4 linked regions of the Coturnix japonica genome follow. The protein of the gene in region 4 binds, or shares a complex with, the protein of the main gene of each other region. Links are inferred from orthologs where the notes say so. Each region holds a gene or a part of one and is shown on either strand. Other genes may lie near its edges. The genes, in order: APOO, IMMT, MICOS13 and CHCHD3.

What was found.
Region 1: CHCHD3 (region 4) and APOO share a complex: the UniProt entries of both Homo sapiens proteins name them as parts of the mitochondrial contact site and cristae organizing system (MICOS) complex. The link is inferred for Coturnix japonica from reciprocal best matches to the Homo sapiens genes CHCHD3 and APOO.
Region 2: CHCHD3 (region 4) and IMMT share a complex: the UniProt entries of both Homo sapiens proteins name them as parts of the mitochondrial contact site and cristae organizing system (MICOS) complex. The link is inferred for Coturnix japonica from reciprocal best matches to the Homo sapiens genes CHCHD3 and IMMT.
Region 3: CHCHD3 (region 4) and MICOS13 share a complex: the UniProt entries of both Homo sapiens proteins name them as parts of the mitochondrial contact site and cristae organizing system (MICOS) complex. The link is inferred for Coturnix japonica from reciprocal best matches to the Homo sapiens genes CHCHD3 and MICOS13.

The regions. Positions count from the first base shown.
Region 1 is NC_029516.1:107,451,137-107,457,006, forward strand, and holds the start of APOO (MICOS complex subunit MIC26), read right to left. Parts: upstream 3,621-5,870; 5' UTR 3,527-3,620; coding exon 3,518-3,526; intron 1-3,517. UniProt on the Homo sapiens protein: Component of the MICOS complex, a large protein complex of the mitochondrial inner membrane that plays crucial roles in the maintenance of crista junctions, inner membrane architecture, and formation of contact sites to the outer membrane.
Region 2 is NC_029519.1:77,504,236-77,509,590, forward strand, and holds part of IMMT (MICOS complex subunit MIC60), read right to left. Parts: intron 5,083-5,355; coding exon 4,962-5,082; intron 4,376-4,961; coding exon 4,295-4,375; intron 4,204-4,294; coding exon 4,102-4,203; intron 3,943-4,101; coding exon 3,806-3,942; intron 3,462-3,805; coding exon 3,358-3,461; intron 3,007-3,357; coding exon 2,871-3,006; intron 1,828-2,870; coding exon 1,698-1,827; intron 436-1,697; coding exon 421-435; intron 1-420. UniProt on the Homo sapiens protein: Component of the MICOS complex, a large protein complex of the mitochondrial inner membrane that plays crucial roles in the maintenance of crista junctions, inner membrane architecture, and formation of contact sites to the outer membrane.
Region 3 is NC_029543.1:714,657-719,266, forward strand, and holds MICOS13 (MICOS complex subunit MIC13), read left to right. Parts: upstream 1-1,985; 5' UTR 1,986-2,063; coding exon 2,064-2,092; intron 2,093-2,176; coding exon 2,177-2,333; intron 2,334-2,658; coding exon 2,659-2,710; intron 2,711-2,863; coding exon 2,864-2,961; 3' UTR 2,962-3,061; downstream 3,062-4,610. Other genes in the region: HSD11B1L (hydroxysteroid 11-beta-dehydrogenase 1-like protein), read right to left, coding at 1-140, 299-392, 684-775, 858-969, 1,228-1,358, 1,554-1,641; scaffold attachment factor B1-like, read right to left, coding at 3,383-3,512, 3,704-3,755, 3,831-3,943, 4,117-4,238. UniProt on the Homo sapiens protein: Component of the MICOS complex, a large protein complex of the mitochondrial inner membrane that plays crucial roles in the maintenance of crista junctions, inner membrane architecture, and formation of contact sites to the outer membrane.
Region 4 is NC_029516.1:1,845,473-1,850,827, reverse strand, and holds part of CHCHD3 (MICOS complex subunit MIC19), read right to left. Parts: intron 4,362-5,355; coding exon 4,217-4,361; intron 1-4,216. UniProt on the Homo sapiens protein: Component of the MICOS complex, a large protein complex of the mitochondrial inner membrane that plays crucial roles in the maintenance of crista junctions, inner membrane architecture, and formation of contact sites to the outer membrane.

The sequences.
Region 1 (5,870 bases), about 110 Mb from region 4:
AAAGCTTTCATCTCACGAGAGATCTTCTGTTTTCTCCCACATCTGTCAACCTTGCTAGTATCAATTCTAACAATATGATATTCATGTTTTAAACAACTTTATGAGTATCCATAGCACCCTTACTGTTTTTCTCTTTCCTTTTCTCTTCTTTCTCTTCTTTTCTTTTCTCTTCTTTTCTCTTCTCTTCTCTTCTTTTCTTTTTTTTCTTTTCTTTCTTTCTTTTCTTTTCTTTCTTCTTTCTTTTCTTTTCTTTTCTTTTCTTTTCTTTTCTTTTTTCTTTTCTTTTCTTTTCTTTTCTTTTCTTTTCTTTCCCCCCTGCACTCAGTACCAAAGAATTCAACATTTTATTTCTAGTTACTGAAAGCATCAGATCGATTTCTAACAATCTCAGGAACGACACAGAATCACAGAAGGAATCTCAAAGCCCACCCAGCCCCAACCCCTGCCATGGGCAGGGCTGTCCCCCACCAGCTCAGCTGCCCAGGGCCCCATCCAACCTGGCCTTGAGCAGCTCCAGGGATGAGGCACCACAGCTTCTCTGGTGAGGCACTGGCACAGGTCGCCCACAGAAGTGGTGGATGCCCCATCCCTGGAGACACTCAGGGTTAGGCTGGATGGAGCTCCAAGCACTCTGATCCAGCTTTTGATGTCCCTGTTCACTGCAGGTGAGTGCAGCCTGCCTTTGTAGGAGTAACCTCTCAGTGTCACATACTCTCACTTCTACTCTGATAAGCCCGTGCTTCAGTTGTGCAGCAGTCACAGCTCAGCCTAGCCCTGCCCGCAGCATCCATTCCCAGCAGTCTTGTTTTGGTGGCAGACACCTCTATCATGATGCAACCAACCCGACCCGTTTGGCCATTGGCCAGTCGTGCACAAGTGCAGAGCTTGGTGTGGGGTCAGCAAGTTGAACCTACTCATGAACATATTTGTGCTGACAAGCACCAGAGGGCTGTGCGGCCAGAGGGGGATGAAGGAGAAGGCAGCACAGGAACCAGGTCATAGGATCGCTTTCAGAATAAAACATGAGGGATCTGATGGATCAAAAGGTACGGAAAAACTTACTTAAAGGTGAAGTTTTTCTGTATTTGTATTTACGGACACGTTATTACAGCACTATAATGGAACACCACAAAGACTGGGGCAGCTCTGTTCAGAGCCAAGGAAAGACGGGATCAATCTGCAGTGGTGATGCTGAGAGACTTTTCACATACTCCCATTAGCCAAGATGCACAAACACCACTAACCATTCAGAACTGCAGAACATAGTTCCTCATTCTTGCCTTTTTTTTTTCACTGCAAAGCTGTTCTCTCACTGAAAAGGCAAAGGTTTTAAATGCATTTTCATTCAGAGAAATACGCTTTCAGTAAAACATTACAGAAAACTTCTGCTGCTCATATTAATCATAACACAGAAGCGCAGGAAGTCTGACCACTTCACATTTACATGTTAACCATCACAAGTCTGAGATCAAGTTCTTCTTAATGTACCATCCAAGCTACACAGCAATGACCCTCCACACTGAGTACATTCCCAGAACAGATGCTACCAATAATCAAATACCACATACACATACAAGCACAATAAATCTTGTATTCACTAGTGTGAGAGATGAGCAGTTCTGCCTCCTGCTTCCAAAGCCTACATTTGGACCTCATGTCTTAGTTCCATATTAACCTTGTATTGTCAAACCAACTCATTTAGTATCACTTAGTGTCACATTTCAGTAGAGCTGTGCCTTCAGTTTGCCTATCTTACAGCTGTTCAGTTGATACAAAAAAGAAGTACAATAGGCTCTGTCTGGGCAGTGCTCTGTATTTACTTTAATGAAATATATATGTATATATTGTTTGTTGTTTCTAATTAAAAGAATAAAGTTTACCTGAAGACACCAAAACATTCCTAAGTCAATTTTGAGTGGAAAAGATAACCACATTTCAAAGAAATACAGGATACCTCGAGGTGGAAGGGACCAACAGTGATCATGAAATCACAGAATGGCTTGGGTTGGAAGGGACTGCAAGGATCATCAAGCCCCAACCTCCCTGCTACAGGCGGGGTGACCAACCTCCACATTTAATACTAGACCAGGCTGCCCAGGGTCCCATCCAACCTGGCCTTGAACCCTCCCAGGGATGAGGCATCCACAATCTCTCTAGGCAGCCTCCTAGCTCCATACTGCCCTCCTCCGAGTTCTTAACCACAGAATGCCAACAGGAGGAATAAATCACATATTAGTTCTCAAAACAAGTGATGGAAGAGAAGTCGTGCCATATTTTTTCTCACATCTGTGGTTTCGTGTTTCACTTGTTATCATTATTATCAGCTTGTCAAAGCCCGGGAAAGAAAACAACAGAAAGGCTCCCTCACCGTACCTTCTGGGAAGGCTGATGTTTGCCGTAGCGTATGAAGGTGCTAAATACAATCAGGAATGTCAGAATCATTAAGAAAAGACAAAGCAGCTAATCCAACCTGCCCGCACTGTGCCCACTAACTACATCCCTTACTGACACAACTACACGGCTCTTCACCACCACCACAGAATCACAGAATGACCCGGGTTGGAAGGGACCTCAAGGATCATGTTGTTCCAACCCCCTTGCCTGGCAGGGCCACCAATCATCACACTTTACTAGATGATGGTTTGCCCAGGGCCCCGTCCACCTGGCCTTGAACACTCCAAGGACGGGGCATCCACAAACCTCCTGGGCAGCCTGTTCCAGGGCCTAACACTCTCCTAGTGAAGAACTTCCCCCTAACATCCAACCTAAATCTTCCCTTTTCACTTAAAACCATTTCGCCTGTGTCCTGCTATTGTCAGCCCTTTCCAAGAGTTTACTCCACTCCTGGGAGTAGAGTTCCCTTCAGATATGTGAAAGGCTGCAATGAGGTGACTCCGCAACCTTCTCTTCTCCAGGCTGAACAAGCCCAACTCCCTCAGCCTGTCCTCATAGGGGAGGTGCTCCAGCCCCCTGATCATCTTCGTGGCCCTCCTCTGGACCCTTTCCAAAACCTCCATGTCTTTTTTGTACTGAGGGCTCCACACCTGGACACAGTACAACAGATGGGGCCTCACAAGAGCACCACCGCCACCACCAAAGACAGTGACTCCACAGCCGCCCCGGGCAGCCATAACACAGCCATAGCAGTGCCATGAGCTATAAATAACGTGCTGTCTCGTATCGCGGGTCTCCGAGCTCATTGGGCAGCGCCGAGCTCCGCGCCCGCCTCGGGATCCGGTACCGCTCTTAGGGCGTCCCCTGCCGGACACACCGCGCTGCGCCGCCCCCTGACGATCCCGGCGCCTCCCTCCCTCCCGCCCGCAGACACGCCGGCTCCTCGCTGCTGCGAGGCTCCATTGGGGCTGAGGAACCCGGAGGAGGGATAGAGGGAAACGCGGGGCCGGGCCGCGGAGAGAGGCTGAGGAGTGGGGGCGAGCAGCCCCGGGGCTCCACAGCGGAGCAGGCAGACACGCGGGCGGGCAGTGACAGGCAGTGACGGCCACTAAGGGCTCCTCACCTTGAGCATGGTGCCACCCGGCTGCGGATACCCCGGCCAACCGCGTCGCAGCTATGATGGAGAACCACGCGTCGTCGCGTTGTAATCACATCACCGAGCGGCCGCTGGGTGCTTACGACACGGCCTGCGTGTATCCGCCACCGCCATGTTGTGGGCGGAACAACATGGGGTCTGCGATGTGTCTGGGAGCGGGATGCTCTTAGCCCTGGTAACTAATGACAGAATTAGAGATAACAGCCTTAAGTTGTGGCAGGAGAATTTCAGCATGGATAATAGGAAACTGAATAGGAACTGGACAGTGCTTCTCAGTGTGCTGTTTGTAAAAATAGCACAGTCCTTATTCGGTGATAGATTCAACTATTGTCAGGAGCTATAAGAGGTGAAGTAAGAAGACTGCAGGTTGTGCCTATCTTTTTAAAGCTTTATCATCTTTTTCTGTGTTACTTTACAGGCAGCAGGTGATTCTTGTGAGTTAATGGGATATTGGAAATACTTCAAACCAGTGGTATGTGTTTCAGTACCAAAACTATTAACAGGCGTTGGTAACAGATAACAGGTATTACTAAAGTGAAAGATGATATGCACGTAAGAAATGCTTTTAAATCTCTTATTACAGGTTTGATTGTAAACATTCCCTCTTTAACAAGAGTTGTATCTAAAATGTTGGTTGATGTTTAGTTGCGTCTAAATGACCTGTGATTAAAGAATACAAATGGGTCTCTTCCACCATTGAATTGTACTTATGCAGTCAGTGATACACATGGGGAAATAAGCCATCAGAGTACGGCAAACATTTCTGGAAAGGTGGTTTCCAGTATTTTTGGTAGCTTTGTGAGCAGTGCAGTGACTGGGCAGTTTGCAAAGCAGGCACATTTTTTGATGTATTTTATTCATCAATGGTATATATGATACAAATACATATTTCTGTGATTCACTGATATGCAGTGACTACACAGCAATTACAGATAGAAACGTAAATACCTGAAGAACAAAGAGCTGTCAGACTTTAAACAAAACTGAAGTTTCTGCATCTGAAGCTAAAGAATAAAGGCCTTTGGTCCGATCACCTCATGGCTGTTTCTAATGTTAGGTAAGAATCTGTACCAAGCTAGAGTTTAATTTCGCATGCAGCACCTTTCCCTCTCCTCGGTAAATAGCTTTTCTATAAACTTTTTTCTTTAATTTGGAGTTAAACTTACCTTGAACTTTTGCTTTCCATTCTTAAACACGAGTATTTTTTAAAGCATTCTGAATGTAATGCTTCTCAGAGTTGCTATTTTGGAAGCTACAGGGTTTGTAGCAATACATTGAAGAACTAAACTGAAAACTAAAGGACGGATGCTATTGCAATTTTCTTGGTGGCTTCCCACTGACCTACCTTGAACTGCATCAAAGGCACTTCTGCATTTTAGCACATGCTGTGTCATCAACTTTGTCACGTTCTAACAGCTTCCAAAACATACTTGGTGCTGTCTAAATCCTGAGCGGTGACAGGCAAATCAGATCAACGTATCCTGCAAAAAGAGCGTAATCCAATTGAATTGAGTTTCACTGTTGATAGCTCCGCTGGTTAAACACTGTCGTGTTCCTTCCATAATCCAGGTCTCTGACTTCTTACTGCAGCCATCAGTAGCTCGAGTTCCACATTTGGAATTACACCATCCCAGCACTGATGAATAATTCTTCTGCTAACAAGCAGCTGATACTACCAGCAGAGATGTCAGCTTAGAGGTGCACAGTTGGAGCACTACTAGTAGCAGTGAGAACAGAAACTAACAGGTATTTTTTGATGTTTCTTTGCACTCACCACAACAAAATCCAACTCTTCAAAATCAAATGCATCTCACATTTCTATTGAGCTGGTTACACGTAAAATGTGTTGCAACAGTTACTGGTCTCCTACATCAAATTTGTTCTTAAAAAGTTACTTTCACAGTAATGCTGAATTTCTTAGCAGGAGAAAGTATTTATCTTTGTATGAGGTATTGACTTCAGTATCTATCTGTATAAACACAAAATGTAGCACTTTATTTACCTGAATACGGACTGTATTTTAATGTTTCTAACAGTATCCACACACACTTCTAACAGTGAGAATCTATGGGACTTACCCACCTGCACATACAAAGGAAACTGCTGGAGAATGTAACCACTATGTGCTGCGCTATATCTTGCATGGTCCAGGTTAGCTGCAAATACGAAATACAGCTTCTCACACCTGTTTTTAGCAGAACAGATCATTGCAACTACAAAAAATAAAATCCAACTATACCACAGAGCTGGCATAAAACTGGAATGTATGCAGTTATCACGCTTGTTTAGGAGCAGAACTTCTCTGATGTACAGATGGTTA
Region 2 (5,355 bases), on a different chromosome or scaffold from region 4:
CAGATGTGCTGGTGGTATCAGCAGGAGCCGGCCTCAATCAGGCCCAAAGTTGAAGCAAACCACTGTCAGTTAGAATTAACCACTGTTGATTAGGATGGATTCATTTCTGTTTCCCATTGGGATCTCAGCAGCAGCTGGTGACTGGCTGAAATACACAAAGCAAGTGGAAGCGTGGCTTTCCAATGCAAACCACACTCACCTGGCAAGTGAGAGCTGCTAGACAAAGTCTGGTTTAAGCAGCACATACAGAACTAGCGGCAAGGATCCCAAAGCACAGCCCAGTCTGAAATATTGCAGGGATATTTTTCACTGCTTTGCTGATAGTGCATGTAATTAAAGTGGTGCACCACACAAACATCAAAAAGGACAAAGAGGAAAGAGAGAATATTCACAAGACCAGAAAAAGTTACAGGAACTCACCTAGATCAGTTATGTCTGCAACAGAAAGAGGAGAGGTTGGAGAAGTTAATGCACATTCACTACAGCAGTCAGTCGTGCAATAGTACAATGGACAACTAAAAGCTTCTGGTCTAGAGTGATCCAAGGCTGCAGGAGTTCAAGAACAGACTCCGGAGATCCCTCCTTGTTACAAGCAAGATGTAACCCAAACATCCCCACCACTACAGCTGCCTTTGGAAACCCACAGATGAACCTTTAGGTTCAGTCAAAGCGAGAAATACAAGTAAAGAAGTGCAACAGGACACTGAGAATTTCCAGGTCCTTACAAACGAGCAGTTGGGTAAGAGACAAATTCCCAGGTAGCAGTGAGAGTCACTATCGAGTCAGTCCTGTACACTAAGTAGGGTCACACTGGTGTGAAACTGAACGCCTGGAAGCTGCCGGGATGTTCCCTCTCTCAGAACAGTGCAGTGCTCACAATACTCAGGATGTCCTCCCCTTATCCTGCATTAGAAATGGTAGCTCCATCTCCAGATGCCAAATCCCATTTTCTTCAGAACTAATATCCCAGAAGATTGAACATAAGAGAGACAGCACAGCAAACTGCAGTTTCTCAACCTAGTAAGTTCTCCCAACTTCTTACAGAACAAAAACCCCATGTGTTACACAGGCCTGGTGTTTTCATTTAGCTTTGAAAATGAGTTTGTGGACTAACATTCACATTTCTAGAGCATTAAGTACCATTAAGAAAGAGGATCACAGAGGATGAGCTGACTTGCTTTAGCCATAAGAATTTAACTGCAAGCCTGACTCCTTCCCTGCCTGCCTGCAATCACACTGTGGTGGTATCTGAACCTTCCAACAACTCTGAGTAATACATTTATCCCTCTACTGAGGCAGAAAGATTCTAACTGTACTTCTGAATCACATTTCTCACTTCACTTTTATCTGTTCTAAGGAAAGCAGGAAGGAGCTCCAGCTGAAAAACCCAAGCACCTCAAAAACATGAGTGTGCCAGATGTCAGACCTCAGGCAAAGAACTGTAGCAGCTGGAAAACACCACGCAGCCATTTACTGCTTCTGTGCAGCACTGGCTGTTACTCCAGATCAACTCCTGTGTCACTCTCCTTTAGAACTAACACACTGGGATAAGTGAAGTATTTAAAGAGCAGTGAATTCACTCTTTCAGTTATCTAGAAAGAATCAGGGAGCTCAGAATCAGGGAATCCTGAAAGCAGGCATTGTTACAGCTGCTCTATGAACTGCTCTACGATTGACTGCCATCGCCGCAGACTTACTGAGCCCCTTCCAGCCCGGCTGCACATCGGGGGTGATGCTCTCGAGTTCTCGCTGAAACTCCTCTCTTGCCGTAGCCACAAGTTCATGATACTGAGCCACGATCTTGGCCTCAGACTGTGCTGCCTGAACCTGTAACAAACAAAAAAGGAGACTGGCTTATCTTCCAAGGAGACTGAAGTCATCTGAGATCAAACCTGAGTTAGTGGCAGAGATCTTTATCCTCACTTGGGGAAAAGCTGCCCTGTGACATCAAGCCTCTTATACACAGTAATTATTTACCCCAACTACACAGATCCACTTCTTCACACGCACACTGTAATACTGTAGTCAATCTGTAGCTCAGAAAAAACCAACACAATATGTTCCTTTAGAGATATCCAGCTCTACACCTTCATTACAGAATGTTTTCTACCATCAGAGCAGCATGCAGCCATCACAGCCCCAGCAGGGAGCTGCCCAACCCTCACTGCGTTCTGTACTCCCACACTTCAGAGAAATTCCCCACTGAAATTCCTCCATCAGAGCAATCCATTATCCTGCAAAAGGGCATGATTTCAACTTTACTTTTCATCCTGTTTTCTGAGCCATAAAGTGATATACCCACAAAGTCATCAGCAGACTCCTCCCCAACCTGATGAATATTATAGGTGTGCCCCAGATCCAAAGAAACAAGTTTCAAGGTTAAAAAGTAATCTCAGCAATCCAACCCTATGTCTCCCATGCCCTGCACAAGAGCCACCACCAGAACAACTGGATACACTCAGTGAGAGGACACTACGCCAATCAGCACCCTGAATAGTTTGTCTCATCTTCCTAATTCCACTCCAGCATCAGACAGAAGGAACTGCAAGTCCAGCATCAGACAGAAGGAACTGCAAGTCCAGCATCAGAAAGAAGGAAATGAAAGCTGCCCAAGGAAAGAGCAGACACTGAACAAACTGGCTGCAGAGTTCCAAGACAGAGTTCAGGCTTTTCATGCAAAGTCCTTGTCAAGACAACTCACTGGTACCACACACAGCTCAAAGACTGACTATAGCTGAAAATTGTGTTTAGAAATAGCATTTAAACTAAGAAATACTTGATCTGCTATAAAGGACGTGGAAAAAGGGGGTCTCACAAGCTGCCAATCAGTCCTTGTTCTAATGATGATGAAGAACAGCTGGAAGTGTTACCTTCTTCACTACATTGTCCAAGTCAACTATCATATGATGAAGATTTTCCTCTGCAGCAATGATGTGAGGTTTGGCTCCTGGGATCTGAGCCTTCTTGGCATTCTCAATTACACCTTTTGTCTTCTCCAACTCTTCTCTGAAAAGAAATGAAGCTGTTGATTATAACACATACAGGTCTTACTGCATAACCACATACATGCATGAGCACACATCTAATAAATAGCCAGCCTTAGGAGTGGCTCTGCTGAAGAATGGAACCAACAAACAGTGCTGTAAGACTTAATTTTACATCACAGCTAGGAGAAGCCAACGATGTTATTGACTCAACAGACCCAGAGTGCAGCAAATTGAATTCTTACAATAGGCATAATAATGATCAAATGATCCAAAATGATATTAGAAGGATTATGGGTTATTGTTTTCTTCAGTCTTACTTGAACTAAGGAGCACTGTATTTAAGTATGGGTAGGAGATACAAAGAACTCACTTGGCTTTCAGAAGGACATCAGCAGCTTCATCCACTGCCCTCCTTCGATCTTTCAGAGCCTCCTCCAGAGTGCGCCACTGAGCTGATTTCTTCTCCCCAGCAGTCTGACAAGCACAGATCGATCATTAGTGTTATCACAATGCCCACGGTACAAAATTACCCATCAGATAATAACAACACAGCTGGAAGCTCTTAAGAATTTCTTCTTTCTATCGTTTTTGTTGTGGTTTTGAACCTTGACATTGTGATTGACCACTCCATTATACCCTCTGCAACAGAAAGCAGCAGTCCTACACAAAGTGGGACATGTCAAAAGCAGAAGCACTTTATTATTAAACCCTACAACGTTTCCCAAGTGGGAAGATCAGGTAAAACTGTGACAAACATTAAACCTCAGACTTTATCCTTAGTTACACGATGAACACAAGTCCCCAGCTGCCCAATTTACCTCCGAGTTGTCCATTGCCTCCTTCAGTATTTGCAAGTGCGCATTCACTGCTTGCACAGCAGATTCCTGTGCAGTAATTGCCTGCAGTGTTACACGAGCCGTAGAGCTCAGGGCTCCTTCCAGTGTTGCTGCAAGGGCTGGAAAGAAAATACTGGAATTAACTGCAGCCTCATCATTGAAGTGATTCATTATATCTCAAGTGTCTCCTTACGTTATTTTCTGTGGCTCACAAGAGGTTGGGAACAATCCTTTTGTCCCTTACAGCATGTGTAGCAGAACTCCAGGTATGGGCTCACCTGCGATCTTCTCTTGCTCCTCTTTGTCCTGCTGGGCAAGACGAGCCGCGACCTCGTCCGGCGATCGTTCTTTTATAGCATGGGAACCCTCATGTTCTTTACCTATAAAAGCAGATTATTTAAGCATCAGATCCATGTGTTTGAAGCGACAGGATTTTGATGTTCTATGTGGTATTCGTGCAATCTTTTTCACCTTCTTCAGGCTGTATCCCCGGAGCTGGCACTGACGCGGCTACCCCTGTTGCAGAGATGATCTGTGCTGCAGCTGTGCCTGCTGTTAAGTACAGTTACAGAACTGAAACATGCACATGCACTGAAGTGAGAACAGGGAAATAACAGACACTGGGTTTTTCCTCTGGAGGAACTTCATTGGGACATTCATGTTATTATTTACAGAAAAGGAGACAGCATTAATTACACACACGCAGATCTTCACCTGACATGACAGATAAGGGAACAAAGATGCCAACTGTGACTCTCTATGTTCCTTTTAATCTGGCTTTACAAGCAGCTCAAGCAATTATCCCAATTAAGGCATACTGCAGTTGCTTAAGAAGAAGAAATAGAATATCTCAAGAGCCCAGCACCCAAAGTGAGCCTTGTATGCAGAACTATGGAGTGCAGTCATTTATATTAGATTCCAAATACTCTAAGGTCAATAAACTTAATTGAAAACTAAGCAAAAATGGCTCAAGCCCTTCTAGGCAAACTTCCTTATGATCAATAATATTAATTCAACAAAACTACAGCACAAACATCTGCAACCATCCCCAAAGCCCATCTCCATCTGCTGTGGGATGTACGGTACAGGAGAACATTAGCACTTCTGCTTCTCTCCGTGTGACATTCCATAAGGTTACCTTCTTTTTCCTCTGAAGGAGCAACAGCTTCTGTTTTGCTTGTGTGGGATTTGGGAACGGGCTGTTTGGATTCTTTCATTACTTCTGCTACAGATGAGATCTTCAGTGGACCTTGTTGTATCTTGAGAATCAAAAATAAGAAAGTATTCATTTTTCAGTAACCATCGTGCAAAGCCACAAGGTAAGAACAAAAGCATCTGAGTCAGAGCCATAACTGGGCAGATCAGGATTTCAGTCTGAGCAGTCTGTGTGATGCTAAAGTTTACTCGGTGCCTGGAAGGCACTAAGAGCCTCCATGATCACAAGTGAAGAACATGCAGCTGAAAACTGCTGCAGGGTAACCTCACTGCAGCCTTCCAGTACCTAAAGGGAGCCTATAAACAGGAGGAAAGTC
Region 3 (4,610 bases), on a different chromosome or scaffold from region 4:
GTCGATGAGGCCCAGCACACACAGTGTGATGGACACGTTCTTCCTCTGCATCATCAGCTCGTGCCGCAGGGACCCAAAGAATCCATCCAGAGCGAACTTGGTGGCTGAGTAGGACGTGGTGAATGGGGTGGGGATCTTCCCTGGGAGATACAACGGGCGGTGGGGAATGAACGGCAACGGAGAAACAGACACGGCCCTGACCCACCCCCTGCAGCTGGATGGAGCCCTATGGATGGAGCCCTATGGATGGAGCCCTATGGATGGAGCCCTAAGGACATCGGTGCAGCCACACACTGACCTGAGAGGGAAGAAACCACCACCACTGAGCCCTGGTTCCTCTCCAGGGCCGGCAGAGCGGCTGATGCCAGAGCAACGTAACTAAAGAAATTGACCTGGAGGAGGAGGGGGAGGATGGAGACAGAGAGAAAATGCTTCGAGTTCAGTGAGAGCTGAAAGAAACAGAGCAGAGCTGAGAGGGAGAGTGGGGTGAGAATGGGAACGACAGGAGGAAAGGAAGGTTAAGTCAGCACAACACTGAGGTGAGTAGGGGAGGCTCCAAAGTATCAGCCTAGAAACACACACACGGTTGCCCTCGGCTGCAGGCAGAGCTCTGAATCTGCCTTCGAGCCCCTCCAGGTTGTCCCAGGAGCAGCAGAATCACAAGAACTGCTGGGAATCCTCACCTGCATGAGCCAGCGGCTGTGCTCCACATCCCCGCCCCACATCTCAAACGGGGAAGTGCCGATATGGTTCAGCACGAGGTAGTCCAGCCCTCCTGCGGGCACAGACAGCAGTCAGTAAATACAGGGGTAAATACAGCAGATATTTGGCTGTGCTGCCATTCTTGTCCCGCTTACCCAGTTTTTGGACAGCGAACTGAACCACCCTGTCGGGCTCTGAAGGTGAAGACATGTCAGCTGGGAGGTAGAAGACTTTCTTTGCTCCGAGGGTCAGACATTTCTCCATCACCTGCGAAAACAGCGCTGTGCCAATGGCTCAATGTGAGGTGGGGGGGAGGAGCAGCGATAAGGAGCAACATCGGGCTGCGGTGCTGCCCCCTGGTGGGAGAAACACGCGCTGCAACAGCGCTGCTGGGCGACAGCAACGGGGGAACCCAGCACAGGGGAACCCACATGGGGTCAGTGCAGGGGATGGCAGCACAAAACAGCCACAAAAGCCCGAAGCCCAAAGCCCGAGTCCCCGCCGTTCTGTTCCCTCCTCCCTCACCTCCCGCAGCGCCGCCTCCCTCCTGGCGGTCAGCACCATCTGAGCCCCATAGGCCGCATAGCGATAAGCCAACTGCTCCCCGATCCCGGCGCTGGCTCCGGTCAGAAGCACGCGGGCACCGGAAAGGAGCTCTGAGAACGGGACACACGGACACAGATACAGACACACAGACGGACACACGGACACAAGTGTGCGGGGAAACGGGGCACGAAGCGGCGGGTGGGGGCGGATGGAGCCGCTGCTGCAGCCGGGGCCGGTTGTGGCCGCGCTCACAGCGGGGGCTGCGTGTGACTGAGCGGCCGTTACCGAGTGTCGGACCGTGATACCTGCGTGGAACGGGTCGTCCCTGCAGCGCAAACACAGCAGCGCAGCCAGGAGCCCCGCGGCACAAAACAGCTTCGTGATGGGAACCATCGTGTGCGGGACGGGACGGGGCGGGACGGGAACGAGCTGCGGGAACGGAACGGAACGGGATCAGTGATGGGGGACGGGGGGAGTCCGAGCGGAACGGGGCGGGATGGAGGCGATAGAACGGGCTGCCCCCCCACAACGGGAAGGTGTCGGACCGGGTCAGGCCTCATCACCCCGTTATCTCGCTCATCTCCCATCATGTCGCCGCTCACAGCGCCACGTTCAGCGGGTGCGGCCCCCACTCCCCGCCCTGCGGCCCCCAGCCCCCTCACTGCCCGCCCCGACCCCTCACCCCAAGATGGCGGCGGCCGCAGCTTCCTACGTGCGCTCGTTGCCGTGGTAACGGTTGAGAAGGAAGTGGTTCTCCACTCTTCCGGTCACGTGAGGCTCCCGGCGGCCCTCGCGGCGCTGCCCTTGGTGCCGTCATGGCCGCCCGCATCGCGCCGCTCATCCGGTCAGTGACCGCGGTCAGACCCGGGATGGGAGGGACGTAACGGCGGGACCGAACCGAACCGAGTCACTGCTTTGGTCCCTGCAGGTTCGCCATCAAGGGAGGCCTGGCCGGAGCCGCCGTGTACGTGTCGTACGATCAGGGGCTGCTGGGCAGCGGGACCGAGGGGGCAGAGGCCTTAAAACGGGCCCGGGAAGCGCTACCGGCTGCGGTGAGAGAATGGAGCGGACACGTGGGATGGGAGGTGAGAGGGAGATAAGGGAGATAAGGGGAGATAAGGGGGGAGATAAGGGGGGGATAAGGAGCAGCATCGGGTCTGTTTGGACCCACAGTGACAGGGAGACCCTGAAGGAACCAGCAGCTTTTCCATATCGGATCCTATTATAAGCTGTCACGTATTTCCCCTCTGCTTTTACTGCAGCTCAGAGCCCAGAGCTCACTGATGCCCATTGACTCTCATTGATTCTCATTGATGCTCATTGATGTAGCACCAAACCCCTTTGGGCTCCGTGATCCCCCTGCCCCCCATTGCTGCCCTTCTTTCTTTCTTTCTTTCTTTCTCTCTGCAGCTCCCACCCGTTCCAACCTTGGATTTCTCCCCCTCGGATTCCTGGAATAAAGGTAAAATCCCATTTCATTATTTGTGGGAAGGGGCCAGTGCTGCAGCTTGTCATAGAACCACACACTGGCCGGGGTTGGGGTTGGTGCCACAAATCAACCTGCCATGTGCCTCCATTGCTGCTGTGCTGTGCTGACTGTCCATGTCCCTTACAGGGGTGCACACGCTGATGTCTGCCCTGTCGGTGGCTCCCAGCAGAGCGTGTGAATACACGGCTCAGGGCTGGAACTACCTCAAGGATCTCGTCAAGTGAGCTGAGCACATCCTCTGTCCCGCTCTCATTCTGTCCGTCCCGTGCTGCTCCCACAGCTCAGCCACAAGGGCTGCAATAAAAGACTTTGAAGTTCTGGTTTCATTGGGGTTGGTTTTGACAAATAGCCCCCATTGCTCCATGCCTTCATAGCAGTAGGTGCCTCAGAGACGACTGCAGCCGTGAACTGTAAACTGTTTTTTTTTTTATTTATGGAAAATGGAATGCTTCATTAACAAACAGTTTTAAATGAGGATATGAACAACACGTTACAAAACAAATGAGTTCACATTGGATCGAGTGACGTCGTATGGCAGCAGCTTAAAAAAGAAATTCCACTTACAGTGACCCACGAGCTCCAAGGGCCGGACACCCCAGGGACAAACCAACTGCAGTTGCCACGTAGCGTTAGAAATTAAAACATTCAGTAGCGACGGTTGAAGCGAGGGTCGTTGGGTCGGCTCGCTCGCTCCTGGCCGGCAAATCCCTCCCCTTGCATCCCCCCTCCGTGCATCAGCTGACTTTGGTTCCCTCCTTGCATGAACCCTCCTCGCCTGCAAAGTGGGGCAGATGGTTTGGGGTTGGTTCTCTCCAATGAAGCACAGGAATATTCTGTCATCCCTTGACATTTCAGTAACAAATTGTGTAACTGATAATCCCCTAAAATTCTCACTTAAATGCAAGGGACTCACCCTGAAAGGAAATGGAAAGCAAAGAAATGCTCTGCTCTTTTTAAGCTTCTTACCCTGACATGCCTCCACGGTGCATCACGTGGCCAGGTCTCCCTCTACCTCCACCTATAAAAGAGTGAGAGTGATTCCTCTGTGCCCACAGGAGCCGTTTTGCTTTGTGTCCATGCAGGGCAGCTTTACCTTGCCATCTCTCGTGATCCCGTCCCATCATCCCTCCATCCACGCTGCTCTGCCATGAACGCTCTTGGTGCCCTTCAAATTTCCTCCCGTGGTCCCCCCAGTCGCGGCCATCCCTGCAGGAAGAGCCTGAGTTACATCTTTGACACCTGGCACTGCTGCAGTGCAGGAGTGAGCTGGAAGAGCCACTGGTGTGCAGGGCAGGGAACGGGCTGAGGAGGGAGGTGTGTGAAAAAGAATCACGTCAAAAAGTGCATTTCCAATATTCACAATCTGCACAAGAACTGACCGTGATGGGGGGGGGATCCCTCTGCTCTCACTCATCCTCCTGTCGGAGCCGTAGCTGCCCCAGCTCTCCCGGGAGTCCCGTGAGTGGCGCTCGGGGCCTCCATGGCGCTCATCTGGGTAATGCTGCAAGGCAAAGACACGTGTGTGAGCGCACAGAACCAGCTCCATCTTTATTTCTTCCTGTTGATCTCTGTGATATTCCTCCCTGCCCAGTTTCTCTCACAATCCCACAGCTCAGCCAGCAGTAAAAGCCACCTCTCACTGCCAGCCCCTCAGGCCACAAGAGCACACCAACACCGACTGAGTTTTGCCACCTTACAGAGTTAATATTATGTTACTTGTGTCTTCTCTGAACAACCTCTCTTACCCCCCCACCTCTCTGACACACTTGTTTGCTGTGTACCACAGTAAATGTACCTGACTTTTATAGCAAGGCAATCTTGTCACTGATAGATACTCCTAGCACTATAATTTTAATTTGAAACTACAGCAAAC
Region 4 (5,355 bases):
AAAATACTTCAGCAACAGCAGACTTCATTCTCTAACAGGTACTTCTGTGAAAGCCTGGAACAATACTTGGGGAAATATATATAATTATATTAGTATGGATACAGATTTCTAATGATAGCAGTAATCAAATTTTAATGTTATGGTTACAGCAAATGAACAGAACAATATTTCTGTGCCTCTTCAAAGGGAAATGAGACTTTAATGTCATTGGCAGCTCAATAAAACCATTTTCTAACGTATAGGGTCTTAATGACAGCTTGCTTCAGTCCAGACAGTGAAGCGAACATGTTAACAGTAAACTCCAGGTCATTACAAGGAGATGGAAATACAACAGGTCCTCTGCACTTTGGATAACTATTGATCTTTTCCTTCATGTTCTCTGTGTCTCACCGTGGCTCTCATCATGATGGAACATCAATATGCTGTTTATGGCAAAGCTACTGCATTTAAAGGCACTCAACAACACTGTGCCCAGCTCAACCATTCACAAGGCTTAGTGAAGGTCTCCAGTCACAAACAGTGGAAAGGAACATAGGTCTGCTGCCTGCATAACACCATATAAGTATTCTTGGAGTAGTCAGAAGTATGAAACATTGGCTGGTAACCCATCAGCCAATTCCCCACCTTGTACTGAGAGAGTTTCCCCTAAGAGCTTACACGGCATGTAAGTAGCTCAGCGATCATTAGCTCATCTATCATCAAGTTTCTTTCAAAGCCTTGATGAATACCACCCAGGCTTGAAGAGCTGTAGCTGGTAAAACCATCAATTTTCCCTAATGTTTTCTACTGAATCTTCAGATCAATGGCTTTGTCTGACGAAATCTCTGCAAAGAAAACTTGTGGTATGGCAGCTTCCAGAGTTCCTTCTCTTTAAAGGCACACGTGAAAGAATTAATTCAGAATTGTTTTGCTGCTGTGGGTTCATCTATCCTGATCACAGATCCCATTCCCCAGTGATATTCTGACTCTACAGTCCTTGCTGGGATTTCAGTTCCATGAACTCTGGGCTTGCAAACACACATTCTGCTCTCTGGTGACATTCCCCCTGGTTTCAAGCTAAGACAGGAGAGGTTTAGGTTAGATATCAGGAGGAAGTTTTTTACACAGAGCGTGGTGACGCACTGGAACAGGTTGCCCAGGGAGGCTGAGGATGCCCCATCCCTGGAGGCATTCAAGGCCAGGCTAGATGTGGCTCTGAGCAGCCTGATCTGGTGGTTGATGACCCTGCATATGGTGGAGGGGGTTGAAACTGGATGACCATTGTGGTCCTTTTCAACCCAGGCCATTCTATGATTCTATGATAGGGCCCGAAGTGTTAGGGATAGGTCCTGCATCAGAAGGCAGTGGGCATGAAACAGGTTGCCCAGAGCTTCAAGAAGCATTTGGACAACATGCTCAGATGTAGGGTTTGGGTTTGGGTTGGTTCTGTGTGGAGCCAGGAACTGAACTCCATGATTCTTGTGTGTCCATTCCAATTTGGGACAGTCAATGATTCTGTGACTGAACCCTTCTAGTCATACTTAATATTTTGATAAGAGAGATGATTTAGCAGAGGGCTGTTAGAGTTAGGGTACTATGATTAGGCTGCGGTTGGACTTCATGATCTTTGAGGTCTTTAACAACCCGAGTAATTCCATGATTCTTTGATTCTGGGAGGTTTGCTTTTTAACATTTAGCCTGACATGTGCTCATTCTGCTCACTTAAAAATTATCTCCAGGTTTCTTAAGGGTACACTCCTTTGCTTTACTTGCTGTCCAAGCTCAGATGGATTCCTTTAGACGTCTTTGTTGAAAATTGGAATACTTCTGCTTAAAAAGACAAATGACATCTTTCTCCTTATCACCTGAAAAGCTTCTACTCCTTTAGCTGTCAGCTTCAGCTTCATCTTACCAATTTTCTTCATCTGTATGAAGAGCCAGTGCCCATTTTTGGTGTTCTAATACTTAAAAGTTTCCTGTCTGAATCTAAGCACCAGCTGGTTTTAAATGGTTTAAGACCGGGAAATATTACTTCAATATCTAACAGTTTAATGTCTGCTTGTTAAAGCTGAATTAGCAGCCTTTATATAAAAATATTCTTCCTGTCTTACCGTATCTTTTCCTGCTCACCATTTAAACAGTTTAGCAGCAAAGGAATTAACATTGAAGATAATGCTATTGACATTTCCTAAACACCAGTTCTTTTTCCAATAAAGAATCTGACAGATGTGATCAAATCTGGGCTAAATAAAAAAATCAAGCAGCTCTCACAGTTAGCCAGCAAATGGGATCCTTCACCCCACCTGACAAATGGAGCACATAGACATATCCTCGTGTTGCAAATCTTATAAATACAACGTGGATACATTAGACGAATAAACAATAACAAACTATGGTGGAAACAAACACACAAAAAATTGCAGTAGTTTCATCAAAATTATATAGAGAACTTCACCAGAGAACTTCAAGACCTTTTAAGACCTCACAGGTGATTCCTTCAGGTAGGCAGTTCTACCTTAAAAATTCGGCAATAAGTGAAAATTGATGATACAATTAACTTAATAGCTAAATACACCCATTTCATATCATAATTAGATGTCTCTCAGGCATTTGGATGATGAGAAAGTCATCACATACTTCTCAAAAGCACAGCACTAAGTCAAAGATGCAAAGCTCAAGTTAAGTCAAGCAAATATTAAACCACAACATAACTCTTCGGTTCTCCATTAGGTTGAGACCTCAAAACTTTTATCCATTCCTCACATTAACAGCCCAAGGTTTAAAGGCATAAGGCTAAAGCTATATCTTAGACATAATTCCCCTCCATTTTCCTTTTTCCCCCCAGATATAAAAATAACAAAATATTAAGCATTAATCTAATAATTTTTATTGTTTGTTTTTAGTTTGTTTAAATTTTAAACCACAAATGGTTTGGAAAGACAGCAGAGGCAATAGATTTGTATTTGCACGGCATAGATAAAGCTACTGAAGTGACTGGTTGCCTCTCTTACCCACCAATAGCTCTTAGAAAGCTCTGAATTCATCTTTGATGCAGAGTCAAACATATATTTATGTCAAACATTTATATATATGTTGGTATAACTAATCCTCCTTATTTTAAAATGAATGCTCACTTAAGTGATTTGATACTTTTGTTCTTGAAAACACCTATCTGTTAATCATTTATACTCTGGCAACCTTAAAAGAAATCCTAAGTGATATTCATATCTCAGAGCACAACGATTATCGTTATTGGAAAGCTCAATACAGACTCAAGATAGCAAGGAAATGTTAGATAGGAAGCTATGAATTTGACAGACATTTGAAATGGCCTGAAATATACAGTTGTCAGTTTTCAAAAGAAAACAGGCAGCTGCATTTTATAACTTCTTTGTCCAGAAGCTTTTGTACAACAGCTCTATTAAAATAAGATTATTTGATACGCCATTTCTCACTAAACCAGTACCAAGTTTGAGGCAATCAACAAGAGTTAGACAATTCTTTTTGTTTTCTAGCATGAACGAGACTTCAAAATTACACTTCTCGATTCCTTGCTGACAGCCAGTTTTCAACTGAGGAATATTATGGACTTCCTTGAAATATGAAAGTAATTAACTTATGGAAGAGGGTCTTGTATTCTGCAACTCTGTGATAATCCAAGTTAGTAAACAGACTCATAGAATCATATCATAGAATGGCTTGGGTTGGAAGGCACCTCGAGGATCATGAAGCTCCAATCCCCCTGCTGTATGCAGTGCCACCAACCTCCATATTTAACACTAGCGCAGGTTGTCCAGGGCCGCATCCAACCTGGCCTTGAACACCTTCAGGGATGGACAGGGCATCCACAGCCTCTCTGTGCAGCTGTTCCAACACCTCACCACTCTCACAGTAAAGAACTTCCCTTTAACCTAAACTACCATACTATTCTTCAATCATATTCTATTATTACTCTGCTAGTCTTCTACCATACTATTCTTCTCCCTCTGAAAAGAGAAGGATATTCATATTATCCCAGGCACAAGGAGGCAAACTACACTTGTAACCTTCAGTAGAGTTTGGCTCTTTTTGTCCTTAAGACAGGGAAAATTTAGAGTAAAATGAAATGACAATATTTACCAGTAAAAAAAAGCCATCACAAGACAACATAAGCTTTCAGCTTGTATTGATAGTTTGAAACAAGTCTGAAGAGATGGATGTTCAGAAATCCAAGCACTCTACAAGATCCTGGACTTACAAAGCGCTGCGCCTTCTGACGCTCCTCTTCTGTCGCAGCTCTCTCACGAATGATGGCTCGAGTCAAATGCTCATTGGAAGAAATCCTTTCTCGTTCCAGGATCTTGCCAAACTCATCACGTACATACGCTTGTTCTTGTTTCAGTCTATGGAAGACAGAGGGAGATTTACATCAAAAGCTTATTATCTAAGTTCATTTTAAGAGATGTAAACACGATCACTTTGTGAGAAATCCCTGTACCAAATTATTACAGGCTTCTTAAAACAGCTGAGCACGAATTCACCTAAAATTCCAGATTATTTCAGATTCAAGCTTCAAAATCCAAATACACAAATTCCACAAGTCTTAGGGACACTACTTCATAAATCATATCAAGCACAGATCATTCATAAGTATGAAGCATCTTTGAGCACTATGGGTATACACAGAGCTCTGTCTGTTTCTTGAGGAGAACTCAGTTTGTTGTTTTTAAGGAAAGTTTTTTCAAGGAAATTCTTCCCTGCCTCACCATCCAACTTCCTCATAAAACAGCATTTCTTTTCTGCAGTGGGATCATGTTTTTGGTCTCCAGACACACCATAAACCCAAATGTGGTCCCTGATACAGAGCTGGAAAACAGATGAAACAATCAGAATAAACCTTTCCCAGCAATTTGAGAGGAGATGAAAAGAGCAATCAAACCTATTGCAACAGAGTTAACACAGTTACCACCAGCCCCAGAAAACCATAGAATCATAGGATGGCCTGGGGTTATAAAGGATCATAATAATCATCTAGTTTCAACCCCCTGCTTTGTGCAGGGTTGCCAGCCAACATCCCAGGCTACCCAGATCCACATCCAGCCTGGCCTTGAATGCCTCCAGGGATGGGGCATCCACAACCTCCTTGGGCAACCTGTTCCACTGTGACACCACCCTCTGGGTGAAAAGCATCCACCTAACATCTAACCTTCCCTGTCTCAGTTTAAAACCATTCTCCCTTGTCCTATCAATATCCACCCTCATAAACAGCCATTCCCCCTCCTGTTTATATGCTCCTTTCAAGTAGTGGAAGGCTACAATAAGGTCTCAACATTCACACACTGCAAAACATAACTTTACTCAAAACTGTTACCAAGTTACTCTATGTAAGCACACTGC